3 linked regions of the Caenorhabditis elegans genome follow. The protein of the gene in region 2 interacts with the protein of the main gene of each other region in a biochemical or structural test. Each region holds a gene or a part of one and is shown on either strand. Other genes may lie near its edges.

What was found. Proteins that work in one complex are often made in the same cells at the same time.
Region 1: of the proteins of akt-2 (region 2) and daf-16, one has a biochemical effect on the other in vitro, tested with the Caenorhabditis elegans proteins (2 studies listed by BioGRID).
Region 3: of the proteins of akt-2 (region 2) and mdf-1, one has a biochemical effect on the other in vitro, tested with the Caenorhabditis elegans proteins (one study listed by BioGRID).

The regions. Positions count from the first base shown.
Region 1 is NC_003279.8:10,747,357-10,754,421, reverse strand, and holds the start of daf-16 (Forkhead box protein O), read right to left. Parts: upstream 3,925-7,065; coding exon 3,913-3,924; intron 3,860-3,912; exon of another isoform or gene 3,851-3,859; coding exon 3,767-3,850; exon of another isoform or gene 3,717-3,766; intron 3,529-3,716; coding exon 3,438-3,528; intron 3,385-3,437; coding exon 3,234-3,384; intron 2,004-3,233; exon of another isoform or gene 1,865-2,003; intron 1,357-1,864; exon of another isoform or gene 1,210-1,356; intron 1-1,209. UniProt on the Caenorhabditis elegans protein: Forkhead-type transcription factor. Binds to the promoters of genes that contain the daf-16/FOXO binding element (DBE), TTGTTTAC, in their regulatory region.
Region 2 is NC_003284.9:14,144,989-14,153,972, forward strand, and holds akt-2 (Serine/threonine-protein kinase akt-2), read left to right. Parts: upstream 1-2,711; 5' UTR 2,712-2,718; coding exon 2,719-2,813; intron 2,814-3,016; coding exon 3,017-3,125; intron 3,126-4,017; coding exon 4,018-4,218; intron 4,219-4,261; coding exon 4,262-4,381; intron 4,382-4,605; coding exon 4,606-4,803; intron 4,804-5,274; coding exon 5,275-5,466; intron 5,467-5,576; coding exon 5,577-5,705; intron 5,706-5,752; coding exon 5,753-6,115; coding exon of another isoform or gene 6,116-6,160; exon of another isoform or gene 6,161-6,392; coding exon 6,393-6,572; 3' UTR 6,573-6,980; downstream 6,981-8,984. UniProt on the Caenorhabditis elegans protein: Acts downstream of PI3 kinase age-1 and kinase pdk-1 in the daf-2/insulin receptor-like transduction pathway. Essential role in regulating developmental arrest at the dauer stage.
Region 3 is NC_003283.11:9,540,358-9,547,635, reverse strand, and holds mdf-1 (uncharacterized protein), read left to right. Parts: upstream 1-3,409; 5' UTR 3,410-3,411; coding exon 3,412-3,616; intron 3,617-3,666; coding exon 3,667-4,227; intron 4,228-4,282; coding exon 4,283-4,551; intron 4,552-4,600; coding exon 4,601-5,475; intron 5,476-5,561; coding exon 5,562-5,691; 3' UTR 5,692-5,854; downstream 5,855-7,278. Other genes in the region: his-37 (Histone H4), read right to left, coding at 117-332, 407-502; C50F4.6 (Cold-shock protein), read right to left, coding at 890-1,087, 1,140-1,220; his-41 (putative histone H2B 3), read right to left, coding at 1,472-1,708, 1,923-2,057; his-35 (Histone H2A), read left to right, coding at 2,353-2,502, 2,635-2,868; C50F4.16 (Uridine diphosphate glucose pyrophosphatase NUDT14), read left to right, coding at 6,030-6,225, 6,274-6,743, 6,838-6,975, 7,029-7,137, 7,183-7,278.

The DNA of each region.
Region 1 (7,065 bases), on a different chromosome or scaffold from region 2:
AAAAAGACGAATCACATGCTCATTTCATCAGTGTTAGAAAATAAGGTGATCGTTGAGAGACGAAGGCAATCGGAGAAATAGTTGAGCACAGATCGGAACCGATAGCATTGATAGATCTGTGTGTGTGGGATCCAAGAGGTTTAGGGCTCAGTGAGCAGTAAGAAGGATATTGTTGAAACAACTGATAAAGAAGATTACAGTATTCTAGGATACATTTTCATATAATTTTCTTCTTATCTCAGATGGCTAGATGGAAAATTCGAGACTAGAAACTTGAAGAAGACTGATAAAACTATTCCTTCTTATATTCTCGAGGCACGTAGACATCTAGACACTCGGCAAAAAAACCTCCAGGGAGGAAAAAAGTACATCGGTATTCCCATTTGGTCTCGTTTTTCGATTCTCTTCACAAAAATCGAGAGGAGACATCGCGAATCGAACACGGGGGAAACCGGTTTTCATTTGCAGAGACAAAAAAGGGAAAGAGATAACGATGGCGACGACGACAGGGGAAAAATGTTGCGAGAGTAGCGATGTTGGACAAGTTGCTGCAATATTTTGCACTGAATCGCGAAAAAATTTGGTTAGGATTTCCCTTTTTGTGATGAATTCATTATATGAATAACGTCATTGGAAGACTTTCCGACAAAAGAAATTTTTTTTTTGAAAAAAAAAGCGTTCCAAAATTCCGAAAAAAGCGAACTTCATGTTCCCCGTTTTCACTTTTATTGGGTTGTTTTTCAGACAGACACATGCCAATACCATTTGTGTGTAAAGTGATGGGTTAAAAAGTCAACAATGATTGCGGGGAATTTTTTCGTTGTTGTTGGTTTCAACAATATTTGAATTCCAAAAAAAAAGGACCAAAAACTATAAGAGCAATGTATAACAAGAGTTTCATCGGAGTAACAAGAAACGGGAGTGTGCGGGGAGAAACAGAGAGAGGGCAATAACAAAAGTGCAAAACCAAGAGAGAGTCTAGTTCAAGTGCGTTATTAGTTAGCAGAAACCTAAAGATTTTTCGTGGGAGGGGCTTTTTACAGTAATTTCAGATTATCACATCATCTAGTTTACGCCTAGAACTCTGACCTTTGAAACTGTTTTTTTAATAATTTATTTTCAAAACAGAATATACAACGTCACTTGCCGTTTTTGTTCTTTTTTGATTTTTTACATGAGAAAGAAAAATCGGTGTCAACGCGTCTGACTGACTTTTATCTTTTGCAGCAGGCAATTGATAAAGACGCCTGGCAATGTATGATGAAATGATCAAAGACTGTCAGTATGTTGACAGTCAAAAGGAGCTTGATTATATAGCGCAATGGAGTGGGAAAGATTTCGTGAGAGTACAAAGAACAAATAACTCAATGGTAATTCCGATAAGCTAGATCTAACTGATATTTTTGGCCACCAGATTTTCAGGTCGACTAAAAAAAAGTGAGGTCTCGATCAAATTTCACTGAAAATCAGAGCGTAGGAAGGAAGAAGGACTAAAGGCCAAAACAAACACTTTCACTTTCACCAGAGAGAGGAGGCAGCAAAAAAAATCACAGACAGACCGTGAGTAGAACACACTACTTTTTTTCCTTTTTTTTCGACGCGAGTCTATCCAGACAACGAGACACTGAAATCCAATGGGACGTGTATAGTAGGAAGGCTGAGTGGAATGACAATTAAATTAAAGTACCGTACTGTGTGAAAATGGTCGATATTGTAGAGACTCTTAATTCAAAAAAAATTGGCTTGGGGGCACAAGATCGCCAAAAAAAATATTTTCGATATGATATTCCCATATTTAGAATCAACACTTAATTTTAAGATGTAGAGTTAGTTAAAAATTCCAAATATAAAAAAAGCGACTTTCAGGCGTTGCCTGAAACTTTTCAAGCTTTTTTAATAAAGGTATATGATTTTCCTACATTTCTGTTTTAATTTTTGATTCAAAAAATTTGAAATCATACAGGAATTACCAGTTCTGCCAAAAACCTCCTTATTTCGAAAATTTGAATTTTCTAAAATGGAACCATAATAGGTACTTCGTTTCTGTTCTCTGATTTTCGACCTATCGTCTGTTCTAATCAAAAACCCCGCTACAACAGTGTGCAAAAAGTGCACTTTTCCGTTCTCAAATACCACTTGCTCTCTCCCTTTCTTTCAAATGTTTGCCATTTTGTGCTTCCTTCCCGTAGAGAGAAGAACAGCTGATGTGACAGAACAGAGAGAGAGAGACAGAGAGACTCTGTCTGGCAATACAGTGAGGGAGCAAACGCGTGACAGTTTTCGACCTCTGAACGTCACACCGTATACAATGTTGCACACAATGGTGAGTAATTGTTGAGACGGGCGACGACGGTTTTTAAAAGAAATGGGGTTACTGTAGAGAGAAATTATTTTTAGAACGAAAATACGATTTCTGTCTTTAAAAAAGTTGAATCAGAAACTCATGATATTAAAGTTTGCATCAAATCTAATTTCCAAGCAATCAAAAGAGAAAAGAGAAAATAGAAAACCTAATCACCAGTTGTTTGCAAACTGCAACTCCGCGAGAAAAAAAAAGAGAGAAAAGAGTCAAAAGATCGGGGAAACCCCTTTAAATTCTATTTGCCTCTCCTCCTCACATGCACGTGAATTTCCCGTGTGCTTAGTGGACCAACAGCTGACAATAGGCTTGTTGGCCTATAAAAGACGAAAAAGTGTTAAATGATTAGAAACAAAAAACAACTAAAACAGTGATGACATCAAAGGGTTTTCCCTTAAACAAATCTCGAGGTCAGCAACAATGAGAGAAATCACTTTTGATTGTGCCAACCGATCGGAAATAAAATGGAGAAATTGGAAGAGTAACGAAAAAAAGAAATTTCGATGATCAAAAATCAGAGCGAATGTGACAGATAAAAGATGACGCGACACGACCACAAGAATTGAAAAATCAGAAACAGTAAAAGGTCAGCTGAGACCTAAAATTGAGAAAAATTCAAGGCCATTCGGCATATATATATATATTTCTATATATTTTTTTGTTCTTTTTTAATTTAAACATTTAAAATTTTGAAATTTTGAAATTTTAAAACCGAGGCTTGTTCACAAGCCAAAACTCTTTCAAAAATTGATAAAAAGGGCAAAAATCATCAACTTTTATAGCGTTTGTCCTTTTTCCACGAAACAATGCTTTTAGTGCAATTCGACTTTTATGAACCTTCACAAACCACCTAAAAATCTTAAATTTGGCGTACCTAGTTCTTCCGCTGTCAACAGTCTCTAAAGATGTGTGGAAATACGGAGAGAACGAGCATTTTTCGCGAAGAAATTGTTGAGAATACTGGGTTACTCCGCCAAAAGAAGCCGAACGCTCTTGTTGATGGAGGTCGAGATTGAAGAAATCATCTGAAAAAAAAACAAATAAAATTGGAATTTACAACTTTAAATCACGAATTTACCGTCAAAATCAGTGGAAAAACTCATTCCGGAATCAGGCCTTGCCGGTTCGAGATTGTGCAGTGTGATGTCAGATGGTAGCGGCGAATCGAGCTGAAAACTGGGCAAATTAGACGAAAAAAGCGCGCTTTTTTGATTTTCAACTGTAAAAGCTGTGTAAACTTCCACGATTTCGCACAAAATCGGGTTCAAAACAACTATTTTTAGCAGCGAAATGAAGAAAAATAGGGAAAAATGATTGGAAAAAAATTTCGAAAATTTGAAATTTAAACTGCGAGTATACGGTAGTTCTCGATGTGTGTGCAAGGTGTTTGCGTATGCGGCGCCATACCTCACGACAGTTCCACGCTTGCATGTCCTGTGAGAATTTTTGCAGAAAATTTCGGCACTTCGAGCAATGTAATGAAGACTTTTGCTGCAAATTTTAGTTTGATTTTCAATTTAGAATCATAATTATAAGCAAAAAATGTTAAAAACCTCGAGTTGCATCATTAAAATACAGATAGAAATTGAATAGAAGTTACAATGAGGAAATTAATTTCAAATGAAACGTTTTTATTTTGGATAATTTTGAAATCTTAACTAAAAATGAACATTTCCGACGTCTCGAACTGATAAAAAGAGAGAGAGAAGAAGCTTATTTTGACATAAAATGTGTATAGAGGAAGATTTTTTTGCAAAAAAAAAGTTTCTTATCACAATCCATTTTTGCCCACTTTTCCACCATTTTTTCCATCACATGTTCTCGTCAAATGATGGAAAAGTAAACCGATATGTCTTTCCTTGAGAAATAATATGAAGAAAAAAAAAATAGAAAAGAGGACATTGGGAATGCTTTTTTTTCTCGTTGGTTGGCGGCCGGCGACAGAGGTTTCAGAGATCAACTTCTGAGCGACCCCATGCGAGAGTTGTTTACGAGAAAGTGCAAAACTGTTTTATGAACTTTGAGACGGAAAAGAAAAAGGGGAAACGAAAAAAAGAAGATATAAAGCGAAAAAGCAGCAAGCTCGCCCCAAACGAACTCACTATTAGGAATAAAACATGAGTTTTTTAAAGAGAGGAAATCGTGAGAGAAGATTTTGGTAAAAAAATGATTTCAAGAAAAAAAAATCAGAGTTCGTAAATCTACACTGTGCAAACACCGGAGTTTACGAAAAAGTACAGAAAATATGAAGGTTTCAAATTCAAATTTTTTAATTAAAGAAAGGCGAAAATTTCTTTGAGCTGGAAAAACTTTGGAGAATATATTATATTTTTTCGAAAAAAAAAATATTTTTCTAAAAGTATATAATATTAATTTTGGTTTTTTTTTTCTTTTTTTTTGAGGAAAAATAACAGTTTCTTACGAATTTTTTTCATAAATATAGCAGAAATGTAATTAAAATTCGATTTTTTTTTGTAAATTTCCTTGAAATTCTGTCAATTTTCCTTCTTTTTTTTTGAAGAAACACCTTTTTCTAAACATGTCGTTAACAATAGTTCCAAAAAATTGGATTTTTCTCGTAAAACTTCGAAGCACTTTGGTTATTACGGGAACACAAAGTTTTTAGAATGCGTATTGCAAAACATATTTTACGCGCAAAATATCTCGTAGCGAAAACATGACTACTGTAGCGCTTGTGTCGATTTACGGGCTCGATCTTCGAGATGAATTTTATTAAATCAAAGGATTTCGAACATCGAGCACGTAAATCGACATAAGCGTTAGAGTAGTCAAGTTTTCGCTACGAGACATTCTGCGCGTCAAATATGTTGTGAAATACGCATTCTCACAAGTTTGTGTTCCCGTAATAGAGTTGCCGATTTTTTTTAAAAGTTTTCTAATCTCCAATTTTTGGCAATTTTTTTGCTTTTCAAAGAAATTTTTTTTTCTTTTTTTTCTTTTTTTTTTTTTTTCATAATAAAATTGCGCGTAAAATTAGATGCACTGACTCCACCCCCACCAATAGATCAAACTATACGCGCTAAGTCTTTTCAATCTTTCTAAACAATCTTTTGCTGCATTTTGTAAATAACTGAAAAAGAGCAGAAAACATGCAAAACATAGAAAACACTCATGTTTTTCACAAAAAAATAACTTTTCAAAAAACACGACGAAAACTATTTTCAATTTGCTACGTTCTATTTTCAATTGAAAACGATCAAAAAGTGTCTCTTACATAATCATCTGACGGTTATTTTCGTGGATCATCATCAAAACCCACCTGTCTTTTTCTTCTTCTCCGGGCACAGGAGAAGAAGAGGAAAAGACTTACTGAATTGTGTGTTAAAGTACACTAGACAGAGAAACAAGTCAACAAAAACGGGCGGAGCCACACATAGATGCCTCGTCATTCACGTGCGACCCTTCTTGCGCCCCGCTCGCTCTCTTTCTCCAAAAAGTGATCGCTTAAAATAAGAGATCACAATTGTGGCGGCGGGCGCCAATGTTCCCGCCGGTTGCCCTGTGATCTCCGAAATTCAAACCATGAAACTCTTTTCCATTCTTTTTTGTGTATGTCTGTTTCAAATTGTTAACAGAAAATGTGATAAGGTATCGGTGTATGATCCACTAGAAGGGTCTCCCCATATGAATATAATGTGAACCTATGTTTTTTTGCAAATTTAGTTTGAATTGTTGGGGAATGGGTATCATGTGCCTTTTCGTCTGCAAAATGGGTCTAGACGAATCGAAAAAAGAAGAGAGATACACTCTCTAGCAGATGGGCCTTCCCCCCACTGAATTTCAAATTTAGCAGGTGACCGTTGAGATGTACTGGGCCCGTTTTTTTTTCGAATAGAGGAAGTGAGGGATGGCTTTCGGGAGATAAACAGATGTTTTCACTACGGTGATGCACATTTGCTCTACCGATATTACGGAAACAAACAATTCTATTAATGCGTATTGCGCAATATATTTGACGCGCAAAATATCTCGTAGCGAAAATCACTGTAAATGACTACTGTAGCTCTTGTGTCGATTTACGGGCTCGATTTTCAAATTTAAATTTAAAAAATTTCGAAGGAAAGTGAAAAAAAAAGTTTGTTCTCGCAGTTCGAAAATATATTTATTTCAAAAATCGAGCCCGTAAATCGACACAAAGCGCTACAGTAGGTATATAAAGGGTTACTGTAGTTTTCGCTATGAGATATTTTGCGCGTCAAATTTGCTGCATTCTCAGAATTTAGTGTTTCCGTAATAAAAAAACGAGAGAAATAGGGGAAAATTTAAAGATATGCATGAAGTACGGTAGTTGAAAATTTTTGAGCATGTCAGGACCGAAAAGTTTAAGAAATCTTTTCTCTTATTAACTAGAGTTCCAGAAAAAAATTTTTTTAATGAAACTATACTGTAGTTTTCATAAAACTACTGTAAAACTGTCAACTGGCAAGACCACCACGGAAGAGCCAAGATATTGCACTAAAAGGATTTTTCTATTATGTTGTGAAACTTGAAAGAAAGAGATTCTGGTCACTGGTGTTTGAGGCTTGAACACAATTTTTGCAACAAAAATCTCCTGCTCACCAAGAGAACGATTCGTAAAAGAATTGAAATGTTCAGTTCTTGAAAAAATTTTCAGAGAAAAAGAAATGGAATCGGGAGAGTCAACCCTCTTATCAACTAGAAATGAATTGCAAAAGAGACAAATC
Region 2 (8,984 bases):
TGGGTCGACCCGCGACCCAATTTTGGGTCGGGGTCGCGTCCCCGACCCATTTTCGGAAAATGTCTGAAATTGAAAAAAAAAGTTTGTTTTGTTGTAAATCGTGTTTAAACGTTGACTCTTATGCTTGTTTGTATCGAAAATAGGATATGTTTTTTTAATTGATGAAAATACGATAATTTTATAATTTTCAGCTTTTACACGTGTTTTTTGACAAAAAATAGTTTTTCAAGTTTTTGATAACTTTCTGTTAAATTTTGAAAAAAATGGGTCGGGGACATGACCCCGACCCAAAAAGTGGGTCGGGGCCGCAACCCCGACCCAAAAAATGGGTCGGGGACGCGACCCCAACCCGGCCGACCCAAAAAAAATGGGGCGACCCACTCCACAGGCCTAATAACAACAATGCAGACAAAATATACAAAATAGCAGTATATTCGAATAAAAATTCATATCTGTCCACTGCGAGAAGAACGAGTAATTAATATGTCTTTTTTTTTATATTTTGCACGTTTCTGTTTTTGTGGTGTCCTTGTTCTATATAAAGGACTACACACCAAAAAACAACTGAATAATAGACGTTGTTGACATGCTTGTTTGTGGATTTTCAGAGATCAAATCCCACGTTTTCGGTTTTTTTTGTCGTTTTTTCGGAATCTCTAAAATGTATATTCTTTGTTTTTAGTAGTTCATATTATTATAAAAGAAAAAAAACTGCACATCTGGTAAACAATATAGAAAAAGAGAGTTGCGAAACTTCAAAAATTTGTTATTTAATGTCTTGCGACACTTAAAAAACCGGCATTTTACAGTTTATGTTGTGTTTTTTGTTTGTCGGTTGTCTTATCATCTTGTGGTTTTGGATGCATTTTTCACTTGGCAAGTTGTTTACCACTTTCTTCCGACCGCATGCTTTTTTTGCTTCGTTGGTTTTTTCAAAGTAAGACGGTTGTCATACAACAAATATCACAAGGAAATCACATATTTCACTGTTTCAACACCATGCCCATTTTACTCCAGACAAAAAGTTACCTATGTAGTTCCACTAGACGTTAGGAAATATTATACATTTTTGAAATTCATTTTTATTTTAGAGATTTCAAAATTATAGATTTTTACTAAAATTGCACGGAACGGCGGAAATAAGTAGACGAACGCCTACAGTCAAAATTCACAGGAATACCTCGTTAAATTATTCCGCTTTAAATAACTAAAATTGTATATAACATCACACTTCTACTTCCAGTGAAATACGCCTCTTTCTGCTTAAACTTTTTGTTCAGTTAACCAAAAGAATAGAGATTTGCAGCAAAGGTGGAGTAGCTCTTGTGCACGTGGTGGCAGGCAGTCCCATCACGGTCTGATCTACAAAACATGCGGGAATTTTTTCCCCCAAAAAATATGACGTCAGCACACTCTTAGCCATGCGCATTCAGTTGAAATGTCTGCGTCTAAATTCCCGCGAATTTTGTAGATCTACGTAGATCAAACAGAACTGAGACAATTTGACACCACGTGTCAGTGGAAATTTCATTATAACGCATTTATGATATTACAAAACAATAATACAGTCACTTGAATCTTTGTTTAAGGTGGTTTATATAATTTTCCCCAAGTTAAATTCGAATAATAATTTGTTTTGAAGAGAAAACAAGTTACTAAATGTTATTAAATTGTGAGCAACGTATTGCGTACATAAAATAATTTTGCTTTATACTTGATCCACCAGAATTCACATTCCCTCGTTATTTGAAAATGTTTAGTTTCACGCACATGTTTCTCATATTTCATTATTCCAGAATTTTCTTCTTTTTTTTTTTGAAAACAAATCTCGCTTTCCAAAAAAATCAATATTCAAACGCAACCTTTCTCGTGATGCTGTTGACGGGGGGAGAAATAGTGTCTGAAGTTGTTTTCGTCCTTTTTCCTGCCGCAGCAAAAAAGGTCACATCCCCTCTCTTCGCTGCTATCTCTATTTCTCTCTCATCTCTCTTGCCGGCGTTTCTCTGCTTCTCCGCTCAAGTTTTGTCTGCAATCTTTTCCTTCTGTCCTTTTCCTCTGTTTGCCACAATACGTCACTAGGGGTGTTTGTTTTTCCCATAGTCTTTCGTAGCCAACGACTATTTTCTTCTTTTTTTTTTCGTGTTTTATCAAAGCTATGAATTCTTAGTTCGTTAGATTTTTTTTTGGAGGAAAAATTGTCGTAGAACCTAATTAGTGTTGAATTAAAAAAATTAAACTTCAAAGCCTTATTGAAAATATGATCAATTAAAACTAAATTGTTATAAATGTTTCATAACCATGAAGTTCAAACTATGTTTGTAAATTTTTAAGATGTAATGGAAAAGTTGTAATATTTAAGTGCTCGTGTAGTATATCTGCCCTAAAAATTTTTGCCAATAGGGTTTCCACGTGGTGTCAGAATGTCTAATTTCGGCTTGATCTACGTAGATCTACAAAAAATGCGGGAGAAGAGACGCAGAGCTCTCAACTAATTTTGCATGGTTAAGAACGTGCTGACGTCACATTTTTGTGGCTAAAAAGTCCCGCATTTTTTGTAGATCACACCGTAGTGGGACACGTGGTTTTCCATTTTTGGGGCAGGTATAGTACATAAATACCATAATTTAAAACTACCTTTTAATTGTATTTTTTTAACGACGTATTTTTCTTTTTTAAAACAAAATCTCTGAAAGAATTATCACTATTTACAGCGTAAAAATGTCTACTGAAAACGCCCATCTACAAAAAGAAGACATTGTTATTGAAAGTTGGCTTCACAAGAAAGGAGAGCACATTCGTAATTGGCGCCCCAGGTAAGTTTTTCATTGTTTTACCAGGCCTATGTATCCAATCTAGTACAGTAGTTTTAAGTTTCATAGCTACTGTCCCTTATGAAAAGATATTCAAAAAGTTTTCACTTTAATTGCACTGAATTGGAAATGAAAATCTTCCAACAGGAAACCAAAACTAATTTGGAAATAAATGAAAATTAAATCCTAAGATGTCAGTATTTTAGGTACTTCATCTTGTTTCGAGATGGAACGTTGCTTGGATTCCGGTCAAAGCCAAAGGAAGATCAGCCGTTACCAGAGCCACTGAATAATTTTATGATTAGAGACGCAGCGGTAAGTTTTTGAACCTGTAGATGGTTACTAGAAAGTTTTCAAAATCGTTGCTTTTAAAGGTGGAGTAGCGCCAGACAATTTACTAAGTTTTTGCCACCCATTATTTTGGAAGTCGACAAAAAGAATTTTTTCCAACATTTTTTATACTGTATATCTGTTTTAATTATATCCATTGAAACATTGTAAGGGTCGGAACCAGGGGTGTGCGGCAAATCTCAAAATTTACCGAGCTCGGCAAATTCGGCAAATCTATTTTTCCATTATTTGCCGAGCACGGCCAATTCGGCAAATTTGCCGTGCTTAACAAAATCGGAAAAATTATATATTTTTTGATATTTTTTGGAGCACCGAAACTACTGAATTCTTAACACACCTCTGGTTTCTGAACAAGTTAGATGTAGTGTGTCTGCTTAAACATCAAAATAACTCAATTTGTTGTCATTTTACTAAATTTTTGGCGAAAAAATCAACAGTTTTAGTCAAAATTGTACTGTCAAATTTTTGACGTGTGCGGCAAATTTCGAAATTTGCCGCACACCCCTGGTCGGAACATTCGACATTGCTTTCGATTTCTTCAAAAACTCATACTTTTCAAAACTTTGGCAATTTGCCAAAACTTTGACCGGAAATTATGAAAAATCTAAAATTTATTGGAATGCTTCATTATGATATTCGGACATTTTGGATTATTAAAAATGTGTTTGAACAAAATCTTCCCTGGCTCTACTCCACCTTTAAGCAGAAAGTTAGTACCCCAGTAATATACATATGTAGAAATCCCTCTTTAGTAAAAATTTGAAAACCTTAGCTGAACTTCAAATAAGTTTTTAAGTAATTGCCAGTAGGCAGTTTCCATATTGAAAACCGCAACTACCAAAATGCTTTATTTCAGACGGTTTGCCTTGACAAACCTCGACCAAATATGTTTATCGTGCGATGTCTCCAATGGACCACTGTCATTGAACGCACATTTTATGCGGATAGCGCCGACTTCCGTCAGATGTGGATTGAAGCAATTCAAGCTGTATCCAGTCACAATCGTTTGAAAGAAAATGCAGGAAATACCAGCATGCAGGAGGAAGATACTAATGGAGTATGAAAGTAAAGAGATTCAAAATTTTCATGAAATTTTTTAGAATCCGTCTGGAGAAAGTGATGTGAACATGGACGCAACAAGCACCCGTTCGGATAATGATTTTGAGTCAACTGTAATGAATATCGACGAACCAGAGGAAGTTCCAAGAAAAAATACAGTGGTAAGTTTCAAAATCCTGCCAACAAATCCACGTATTGATATGTGGAAATAAGAGGTTTTTAAAGAAAGTTTTTTGAGTAAAAATGATTAACTCGAAAGGCGCAACAAGTTTTTTTTGGTTGACAGGTTGAGCGAAACTTTTTTTTCTGATTTTCCGCTAAAAATTCAAGTTTTGCTTTGTATCTCTATTATTTCTTAAATGTATGTAGTTATTTAATTTTGCAGACGATGGACGATTTTGACTTCCTCAAAGTTCTCGGTCAAGGAACCTTCGGAAAAGTTATTTTGTGCAGGGAGAAAAGTTCTGATAAGCTCTACGCCATTAAGATTATCAGAAAAGAAATGGTCGTTGATCGTTCTGAGGTGGCCCACACTTTGACTGAAAATCGAGTTCTGTATGCTTGCGTTCACCCTTTTCTCACGGTATGCTTATTGGTCGAAAAAATATTGAGTCGGTGTACAATGTTGGCAGATGTCAGTGAAAATTGAAGTAGATGATTTTTTTCGTGAAAAAATCATGTTTAGAGAGACGGATAAATGCACACTAGGATTTCAACGATGGCGCTACTCTCGCCCGCCAGCACCACAATACGCCCCACACTCCCGCCGCCCTCACAACATCGCCTTTCTCTGTTGCACGTAGCTATAGTGGCGCGAGGTCCTGCGCGGCGTCGGCAGCAGTACACAGAGTGTGATAATGCTGGCGCATGGGCGTGCCGAAGTAGGGCGGGCGTTTCCGTGGAACCATATTTTTTTTCTCTAAGAAACTCTGAAATACATATTTCCTATAAATTTATCGATTGCCATAACTTTACAAATATATCTTACTTACAATTATTTAAAATATTTGAATTCCCCAGTTGTTGACACAGTGCCACAAATATATTTTTTCAGCTACTTAAATACAGTTTCCAAGCACAATATCACATCTGTTTTGTGATGGAGTTTGCAAATGGTGGCGAGCTGTTCACCCATCTTCAGAGGTGCAAAACATTCAGCGAAGCACGAACAAGATTTTATGGATCGGAAATCATACTTGCTCTTGGATACCTTCATCACAGAAATATTGTGTATCGTGATATGAAAGTAAGTAGAAGCTTTTTGAGAGGGGTTATCACAACTTGAAGTATTTGTCAGAAATTTTTGAATTTCACAACTTTGATGTTTTTTCATTGTTTTTTCCATTGTTTTTTCAGCTCGAAAATTTGCTTCTCGACAGAGATGGTCACATCAAAATCACTGACTTTGGGTTGTGCAAAGAGGAAATCAAATATGGAGATAAAACAAGCACCTTTTGCGGAACACCAGAATACCTTGCACCAGAGGTAAAGCCTTTCAATTCTCGCGTCAAGTTATTAGTCTATTGTTTCAGGTTATCGAAGACATCGACTATGACCGTAGTGTTGACTGGTGGGGAGTCGGAGTGGTCATGTACGAAATGATGTGTGGACGGCTTCCATTTTCAGCAAAGGAGAACGGCAAACTCTTCGAACTAATTACGACATGTGATTTGAAGTTCCCGAATAGGTTAAGCCCAGAAGCCGTAACATTACTATCTGGACTACTCGAAAGGGTCCCAGCTAAGCGGCTTGGTGCCGGTCCTGATGATGCACGTGAAGTTTCGAGAGCTGAATTTTTCAAAGATGTGGATTGGGAAGCAACATTAAGAAAAGAAGTCGAACCTCCATTTAAGCCAAATGTGATGTCTGAAACGGACACGAGTTTCTTTGACAGAGTACGTTACGTTTCAATTCTTTTGAAAGTTTCAGAAGCAATATGAGTAATTTTTAGAGTAAACGATTTACAATTAGGGCAAAGTGTTGTTATTTTTAGTACAGTTTTAAAAAAATGTATGCCAACGTACATAAGATTTCATTTAGTTTTTTTACTGATACTGAAACACAAACAACACTTTGTTTAATGACTAGGATTTTCCAATTTTCATAACAGTTTTCATAGTTTCTAGAAATAAGAGAACCAATGATTCAAAAATGATATTAACATATACTCAGGAGTTCACATCAATGCCGGTCCAACTGACGCCTCCACGTAGAGGGGAAGAACTTCCGACAGTTGATGAGGAAGAAGAATTACAAGCCAACTTCATACAATTTGCGTCATACTACGTGTCGGGAAGCTTGGAACGATCTTATGATACGAACAGAAGCGCTGACAAATACGAAATAAGATGATTTTGTTTTCAACAATTTTTTGTGTTTTCTGTACGTTTTTTTCTCATTCACTCAATTTTGTCAACATTTCATTGTCTCCTTTGAAAACTTGTTATCTCTTTCATGAACTTAACAAAATCTCTTTCAAACATTTCAACCTTTCCAAAAACTGAAACTTTGCGTAGAGCACATTTCGTGTTGCTCACATCCTCTGGGCTAATTTCCATTCCTTTCCTGTTAAAACTCCCCATTTCGCATCACTTTTTTGACAATGCTCTTTTATCATGTTTTTCTGTAGTACTTGATTCATATACCCATCTCTCGGGTATATTTAAAACTTTTAAAACACAGTTCCTTTTCTTGATAACATCTTTTTCTTGATATTTTGTCGCCGACATTTTTTCTCGGGAATGAACCTTTCTCACATGGATGACTTAACAGTACTTTTACATTAAGACAAATACTCAGTTCAAGTAACAAAGAAAACTTTTATCAGAATTTATTTAGTTCAGTTTTTGAATGTCTAATAAAAAAGTGCATTATATCTCAAAACTTTCGAACATAGAAAAACGAATGCTTTTAATAAGTTGTAATTGGAATTGAAACAGATTTCGAGAAGTGAAACAATGTTCGGGGATCCTGTGGAAATCTGTCATGCCATACGAGAAAGTACATAGCAAAGTTTTCGATTAGAATAGTTTCGAGTAGACCATCACTTCTCTCAATATCGAGTCCATATGTGCAATCCACAAATTCAAGATCATCACTGAAACGACAATTTAAAAAAAACTGAATTTTCAACTGGCAGGCTTAAGTTTAGACATATGTTCCGGTTAAGTGTAAGGCTTGGGCTTAGGTTCAGGTTAGGCTAAGCATTAAAATTGAAATCAGGTGTCGGCTTAGAAAGCTTAAGTTTCGACTTAGCTTATGTGGTTTTAAAGTGTAGTTTTTCTTTTTATTTTTTCCCTGTTTTCCCCTAGATTTTAAGCAAGAATAATGCATATCAGAATGATTCCCTCCATTTTTATGACTTGAAAATTCCAGAAAGTTATTATTTGGAAAAGACCTTAATTAAACATACCAGAAGATTCTTGCTCTACGTTTTGGATTCCATTTGGAATATGATAAACCTTTCAATAATTCGCCCGTCCAATTATGCCACCAGTAGTTCAATTGAAGTCTTCTCAGTTTCGGCGAATTCCCGGCCAGCCAGTAATGAATTTACTTATTCCGTTTTGTTGCCGAGACTGTATTGAGATCATAAAATCTCATTTTCTCGCAATCCATCATTTTCAAATCGTCTAGTGTTAATCCTGGGCCTTTTTCGATGTCCAATCGTGGAATATTGGCCCACTTAAATGTGAATATGCTCATAATTCAGCAAAGATATTTTCAACTTACCAGCTTTCTATCAATCTTGTCCTTGTGTAAACAATAAGTCAGGAATCCATATTTCGAATCGAAATTCTTCAATATAAATTCCATATCTTCAGTGCCAAAGTACGAATGTCCGAGAAGTTTTAGAAAATGGCATTTCCGAAACAAAGGGTGGCTCAAAGCAGATTTGAACTCCCCAAAAAGTTGATCATGGTCAATTGCCAAATCGACATGATCGATTGAAAACAATCCGTTCAAATAATCCAAAAGACTAGTCAACTGAAAGTTGTCATAGCCGACCAAATTTAGATTGTCTACCTTTCTTTAGTGAAAATTATCAAAATTAGAAAATAAAATCAAAAGCATAGTAGAAAACTTGTCCAGGAACAGAGGAAAACTGGATTTCCATGTGCAAAAACTAAATAACCTATCTCCGCGAAAAATGATCGGATAGAGCTGTGATTTGAGATTCCATTTTGAATCATTCTATTAACTCTAAATTTAACATAAAAACCGAAACGATAGTGGAAAGTTTGTGAATTTTATGGAAAAATGCAAATTGTTCAAGATAAATGTTCATTTTTCGATTTTTGATACGATTATCCACCTTTTTTGGAAAAAAATTATATTTTTCGCTTCCTCTCGATGTATTCAACATTTTTCCAAAAAAAAATTGGAAAAAAAGCAAGACTAACAGAGATTTGACCGGAACAATGGTGAAAACTGACCGAAAACACACCAAATATGAAAGGGGGAGGTGGGTGTGTGTGTGAGAGAAAAGGGGGAATGTGCAGAAATTTTGGCAAAACTTTAATTATCGTTTTAAAAATAACGAATAGAGATATCACAATGAATTTGGATACTATGGATAGGTATTGGGAAGGAGAACTTAAGTTTCGAGTCTCAAATGTTTTCGATTGAAACTCGAATTTTCCTTCAATTTAAAGTGGTTTTCGGCCAGTACTTCGGTGTGCGCAAAAACAAGCAGGCTGTGGTTTTCCGCTTGTGGAGCCGACAGGATGCTCCAAAATCAACCCCCTTTTAGATGAACACACG
Region 3 (7,278 bases), on a different chromosome or scaffold from region 2:
TAAATTGTTTCTGAAGAACATCAAAATTAAGTCGGATAATATTTTATTGAATTTCAAAGCGAGTGATCTGGTTTTCATGATATATATTTACAGTAACCTCGGCTCAGCCGAGTGAATTATCCACCGAATCCGTAGAGAGTTCTTCCTTGACGTTTCAAGGCATAGACAACGTCCATCGCGGTTACAGTCTTTCTTTTGGCGTGCTCACAGTAAGTGACAGCATCACGAATGACATTTTCAAGGAAGACCTTCAGAACTCCACGAGTTTCCTCGTAGATAAGTCCAGAGATACGTTTGACTCCACCACGACGAGCGAGACGGCGAATTGCTGGCTGGAAAGTAAATATTGAAAATTAGATAAAATATTTTTAAGTTAAAAATATATATTTATTTTCAAAAAACTAACCTTTGTGATTCCCTGGATGTTGTCACGAAGAACTTTACGATGCCGTTTAGCACCTCCCTTTCCAAGTCCTTTTCCTCCCTTTCCACGTCCAGACATGATTAAAAGTTGTTAGAAAACGAAAGCGAATGAGTTGATAAAAACAGAATTGAACGTCACTCGTCGTCGTTCTTTTATACGCCAGCAGAAATGGGTGGAGTCAGATTGAACCACCCTGCGGGGACACATGTCAGAAAAGCGTCACAGAAACGAAAAATACGTCAAAAACTTGGTGGCGTGTTTGCGGATTCGATGACGCGGGAAAGGTTGTGCAGCAGAAATAACAGTCCTCCAAGGGTTTTCCTTGAAATTCGTAGTGTTCGGAAAGACGGTGAAGAATAAATATCATATTTTTGAGCAAAATGGTTTTATTGATGTAAAAATAAGAGATCTTGAAAATAAGAATCGGTTTGAGAATTTAGAAATTTTCGAAAACGAAGAACACAACTAAGTACTCTTCGAACTGGATGACTGCTGCTGCTCCTTATTCTGCTCCGAAGTTTGCTGCTCTTCGTCATCATCTGAACCTTCTGGAACATCTCCATACTTCTCCTTGGCCACCTTGTTGAACTCGGCATTTGTTGCTTGACGAAGAACTGCGAGAAGCTCTGGATCGAGATTCATTCCCTCTGGGAGACCTCCCATCTGAAAAGATATTTTGTTTAGGCTATTCTAAGTAAAATAAAATAGGTCTTACCTCCTTCAGCAAATCATCGAATTGCTTATTGGTCATCTCCAATTTCTTGTTTCCTTGGCTCTTCTTGGTGTTCTTTGGCATTTTTGCGCGTCGATTTGGTGTTGTGCAGACTGGTTGACTAATGAATGCCAACGTAGTGTATATTATATACCCATATGCGGTGGAGGGGCGGAGCGACAGATGTCTGAGGTCACTAACGCTCGCACATGTTTCCCAAAATCGAGTTTACTTTACCAATACCAATTTATTAGGTTTTTAGTATAAAACAGGAACATATGAATAAATACATTGGGGAATAGGAGTGTTAATGGGAGATCGTAATCATTAATAAATTATTTACTGGAAGTGTACTTGGTGACAGCCTTGGTTCCTTCTGAAACAGCATGCTTTGCAAGTTCTCCAGGAAGAATGAGACGGACAGCGGTTTGGATTTCGCGAGAAGAGATGGTGGATCTCTTGTTGTAGTGGGCCAGACGAGATGCTTCCGAAGCAATTCTCTCGAAGACATCGTTGACAAACGAATTCATGATCGACATAGCCTTGGATGACACACCGGTGTCTGGGTGAACCTGCAAATTATTTAATAATATTTTTGATTTGACAGAATAACTACTTAATATTATTTTGATTTCTATGATCCCCCAAGACTAATTTAAATGATTTTTAAATACCGGTATTATATCGTTGCAGTTCGTACTAAGTGGTACGTAGTTTTAACATACAACATGCTAATGGCTAAAACATTTTTTTATCATAACTTATTCGATTTGAATATATTCTCACCTGCTTTAAAACACGGTAGATGTAGACCGAGTAGGATTCCTTACGAGCATGCTTTCTTTTCTTTCCGTCTTTTGGCTTGCTGACGGTCTTAGCAGCCTTTTTGGCTCCTTTAGCTGATGGTTTTGGTGGGGCCATGATCGAATGAGACACGAAACGAAAATGCGAAACGAATCGATGTGTTTGGCGAGTGTTGTCTATGAGCGCTGCGAAGCGCTTTTATACTCGCCAGCGGTGGCCCCACCTCTCGCTGCCGCGGAACTAGACTCCGCCCACACCGAGAGAAATAGTTAAATAGAGAGGCGGGCGCGTGTGCGCATGCGTATTTTGCATCGATTTTCGTCGGCTTAGACCACTTTTCTGTTTCTCTTTCACCTCCAATTTGCTCATCTAGACTTCTAGTTCATTGTTATTCAACCTAATTTCAGCAAAGATGTCCGGACGTGGAAAGGGAGGAAAAGCTAAGACCGGTGGAAAGGCCAAGTCCCGTTCGTCGAGAGCTGGACTTCAATTCCCAGTTGGTCGTCTTCATCGTATTCTCCGTAAAGGAAACTACGCACAACGTGTTGGAGCAGGAGCACCGGTATGTAGAATTTTAGAGCTGCTGTGTTTTGTGCATTTCCTAGATTAAAAAATCGTTCAAACCTGAACTTGCTAGCATTTTCCAAATTATATCACTTTTGCTCTTGTACTTTTTAAAAACATAATGTTCCAGGTGTACCTCGCAGCAGTTCTGGAGTACCTCGCCGCCGAAGTTCTCGAGTTGGCTGGAAACGCTGCCCGTGACAACAAGAAAACCCGTATTGCACCAAGACATCTCCAACTCGCTGTCCGTAATGACGAGGAATTGAACAAACTGTTGGCTGGAGTCACCATCGCCCAAGGAGGAGTTCTTCCAAACATCCAAGCCGTGCTTCTCCCAAAGAAGACTGCAGGAGACAAAGAATAAGCAGTGTCACAGATGAATATTGCAACTAAAGATACTCCGCCCCGTTAATTTATATGTCATCTGAATGTATTGTTTACTCGGCTGAATTGTAAATGAAATAAATTCATATACTTTGCAGTTATCAGTAAATTATTTTTTAAAATGAAAATAAGAATTTGTTTTAAATACAATTTTTCCAGGTAAGAAACTTCCCAAAATTCGGATTTTTGAAAAAAAAACTATTCGCAAGATCATATTTTCCTATTTTTGCATGTTCTTGTGTCCGAACATGTTTCCGAATGACCAAATAATAATAAAAAATGAGGCTGAAGAATTGCTGGGAAAAGTGTGCGGCAGCATTGCATAATGCCGCGCCCTTGCAAGTGGGCGGGAAGACGTTATTTTTAAGATTTCTTCGCAGTTTGTTTGGTGACATTCGATAAACTGTTTTTGTGCGAATGGATTTGTTTGACTTCCCTTGATTGCATTAAACATATTATTAATCTCTATCTCAAAATTCGAATCGCTCACTGTAATACATTATGTAACTGATTTTTTTCAGACATGAATTACGATGAAGACATTGTCGATGAAGACGAATATGAAGAGTCGGAAGCTACAATGTTGTTCGCTGAAGAAATCAAAAAACAGTTCAAAAGAGAGTTTCCGTTGAAAGCAGAGACAGAAAAAAAGCTGAAGCAGGCAACATTTCGTCGACATGCGCCGGTGGAGGCCAGAAAAATCAATTTCGATATGACACTCTCACCTGGTAAATTAACTTAATCCATTTATTAAAAATGTTTAAAATATTTTATTTAGTGGCTCCAATCGAATTGGCAAGTGCAAAAAAAGAAAAAGAGTCGGCACAGCGTCAATTGGTAACACTCCGTGAAGATCACGAACGTATGAAACAAATGATGCAAACGAATCAAGCGAAGTTGGCTGAAAAAACCATTGATCTGGAGACGAATCGTGAGAAAATGTTGGAGCTGCAAGAGCAAGTCGAACTTCTGAAGCAAGAACGAGATGACACCATCGCAGAGTGTAATCGAAACGTTGATATTTGGACAGCATTCGGCAAAAAATACTACACTTGGTACTCAATGGCGAATACTCAGCTGGAATCTGTGAAATTGTACATAGACAACGACGGAAAGTTTGAAAACGACGAAGAAGTTACACGATTGAATGCAGTTCCAAGACAGATGTACAGGGCTCTTGAACAATTCGATTATGATGATGAAACAGTAGAAGAACTTGGTTCAGGAAGTCTGCTAGAATATGAAGGTGTTTCATTTGCTACCCGTAGACCACCATCTCCTGAAACGGAAAGAGAAATCGCTCGTGCTGATCAATCGGCTGCTAACTTTACTCTACCTCGTAAGTCCGGAATTTTCAAACTTTTGTTTGCAGGCAAATATATTCGTATTTTCAGAATCCAATTTCACACTTCTCGAGGATTCAAATAACACCATAATGCCAGAAGATCAAACAATGATGACTGATGGCTGCATTGCCAATCGATCACTTATTGATTACGAGAAAGATGAGAAAATTCAGCGATTACTACTGGAAAACAGTGTTCTCAAAGATCGTTTGAATGTCTCGAGTGGGCGTGCTGAAAGGTCGATGATTTTCGAAGAACGTAATCGTACTTTAGAGTTTGAGAAGAAAGCTCTCCATAAGCAGTTGGACAGCACATTTGTGAGTGAATAATTATTGTTAAACTAATTTCACGTTTAATTTATTTTAGAGTGAGATTGAAGCTATTCGGATTGGCCAAGCAGGGAACTTGTTCAATATAGACGAGAAAATTCCTTCGAGTTCAGACAATTCCGCTAAGCAACTGCAGCTCATTGACAGAATCACTCAGCTCATTACGAAGAACAATCAGCTCGAAAAAGATTTTGAAGCAGCTACTTCCAGAATGACGAAAGTTATGCGAGAAAGCACAGACTGTGCTCGTCGCAACGAACGACTTGAGGATGCTTTTTCGAGCGAGAGAGTCAGAAGCCAAGACCTTGAAAATGAGAAAAGCCGGCTCTCTGAACAGTTAGAGTTGAGCAACAATGAATTGGAGAAGGTCAAGAAACAGTTGGAAGAATCTCAATCTCAGCTCGATGAAGTTCTCAGCATGACTTTAACTGTCCCAGCTTCAGAACCGGCATCTTTACCTGCTCCAACCGATGCCGGAAATAGTACACAGATTTTCCATATGGCTTCTAATCCACTCCAAGATGCTCACAATGAATTCCAAGCGTCTGAAAGTAGGAAAAGAAAGTTGACAGATGCTCCAGCTGGTGATCAATGGAGAGAGCAAGAGTTTGCTGAATTGGAGAAGCGTCTTTACGACTGCGAAAGTGAGAAAAAAGTACTCGAAAGTAGTTACAATCTTCATAAGGAACTCTCGTCGAAGTTCCGGCAAGTTTGTATTGCTCTGACCGGTCTCCAAATCAAACTGAAAGATGCAGACGAAGGAATATGCACTGTACAAAGCGAATATGAAGGTGGTTCCGCTCAGCAGTTCGTGTTTAAGTATTTCTATGGAACTCCTCGCATCGATATGCTTGATGTCAGCTGTGAATCAACTACTGAAATGCTTCGAAAGTGGGAGCCACTTATGAAAAAGTTTGTTAATTTTCTGGTTACTTACTATTAGAAGTATAAATACTCCCCGTTGTTGTGAGGCATCTTCTTAAAATATGTTTTTTCAGGTACATTGGCGACCGAAATTCGATTCCGGCTTTCTTAGCAGCAATGACTCTTCAGCTGGAACAGGATCGAGATTTTGACGAGACGATGCATGAGAGAACACATACATTCAGTGTCTTACACGAGGACTAAATCATTGAGCTATCTAGATCTCAATTATTTTTCTTCAAAGGAGAAGCTGTTAAATACACTGTTACCTGAATATTTGATGTTTCATTCCATTTTATTTATTTATTTTTTAATCTAAAACGTGTAGTGATCAAAATTAATCACACAATGAACGTTATATTTTCTTTCCAATTCAATGTTTACTATGGTATATTGTTTCGTACAATCTAAAGTTTATCTGCTCGTATATAGGAGAAATACCATTATGAAAATAGGAAAATTGGTTTTTGAACATCCTGTATTTTTCTAAAACGAGTTTGAATGATACCGCAATTAAATGATATAAGAAAATATATTTTCAGATGACAGCGTCAAAAATTAGTGATGTCTCTTTTGTGACTGATTTTGTATCAAAATATCAGAAAGGAATGGAGATGTCTTACACATTGGATGGAAATTCACGTGTTAGTGAATTCAATCAAAAAATGAGCAGTGTATCCATTCTTCTATTTCATAGAGATTTAGAGCAATTTCTTCTAGTTCGTCAATTTCGACCAGGTTTCCAATTTTATTCTATTGAAATGTGAGCGTTAAGTTGTTTTTTAGCAATCTTCACCGCATCAATTTCAAATTCGCCGGAGAATCACGGTAAAGAATTTGATAAAATTGACTGGAGCAGCTATGATTCTGAAACTGGCTACACCATTGAACTTTGTGCTGGACTAATTGACAAGGAAGGATTATCTCCTAGAGAAATTGCATCAGAAGAAGTTGCTGAAGAATGTGGATATCGTGTGGATCCTGATGATCTAATTCATGTAATAACATTTGTTGTGGGTGCTCATCAATCTGGAAGTGCTCAACATTTATATTACGCGGAAATCGACGAATCCATGAAAATCAGCGAAGGAGGTGGAAATGTTCATGAGGGAGAAGTAATTACTAAAGTTTATTACCCTGTCAACGTTGCACGTGAAATTGCACGCCCTGCTATTGGAACACATGCAGAAGTGAAAGGACCTCCAGGCGTTCTTTTTGCTTTTCAATGGTGGTTTTTGGTTTTGGATCCAAAAAAGGTGAATAAAAGCATATTTTTATTTAACTTTTGAAGACTGGAAAAACCCTTCTTAAAAAACGTGTGTTTACGACAATCATTTAAAATTTTTACAGAAAGGGCTCATCGCAACTCCACCAACTGGATATCAATGGCAGCCGCACAATGTAAAAACCATTTCGAACGTAAAATTCAACACTGATTTTGACAAAAAGAAGTATGGTTATAATCCAAAGAGAATGATTTTCACAATTGTGAGTTGAAGTAAAGTTCTTAAATTATATGTATAAATGAGAATCTCTTGTAGAATGGAATAACCCGCAACTGGGATTTAGCCTTATGTCCAAACACAGCTACATGTATTCTTGTAGATATGGTGAAGAAAGAATTGATTTTCTTGCAGAAACTCCGTGCACGTAAGTAATTTTTAAATCGAACTTTAATGAAATGTAAGTTTACAGCGGTGTTTGTTGGAAAAAATCGTTTTTTGAAAGAAAACATTGGAAAGCCTCTGGATGAGATTGATTTCTCGAATTCCGATCCTAAAATTGCATACA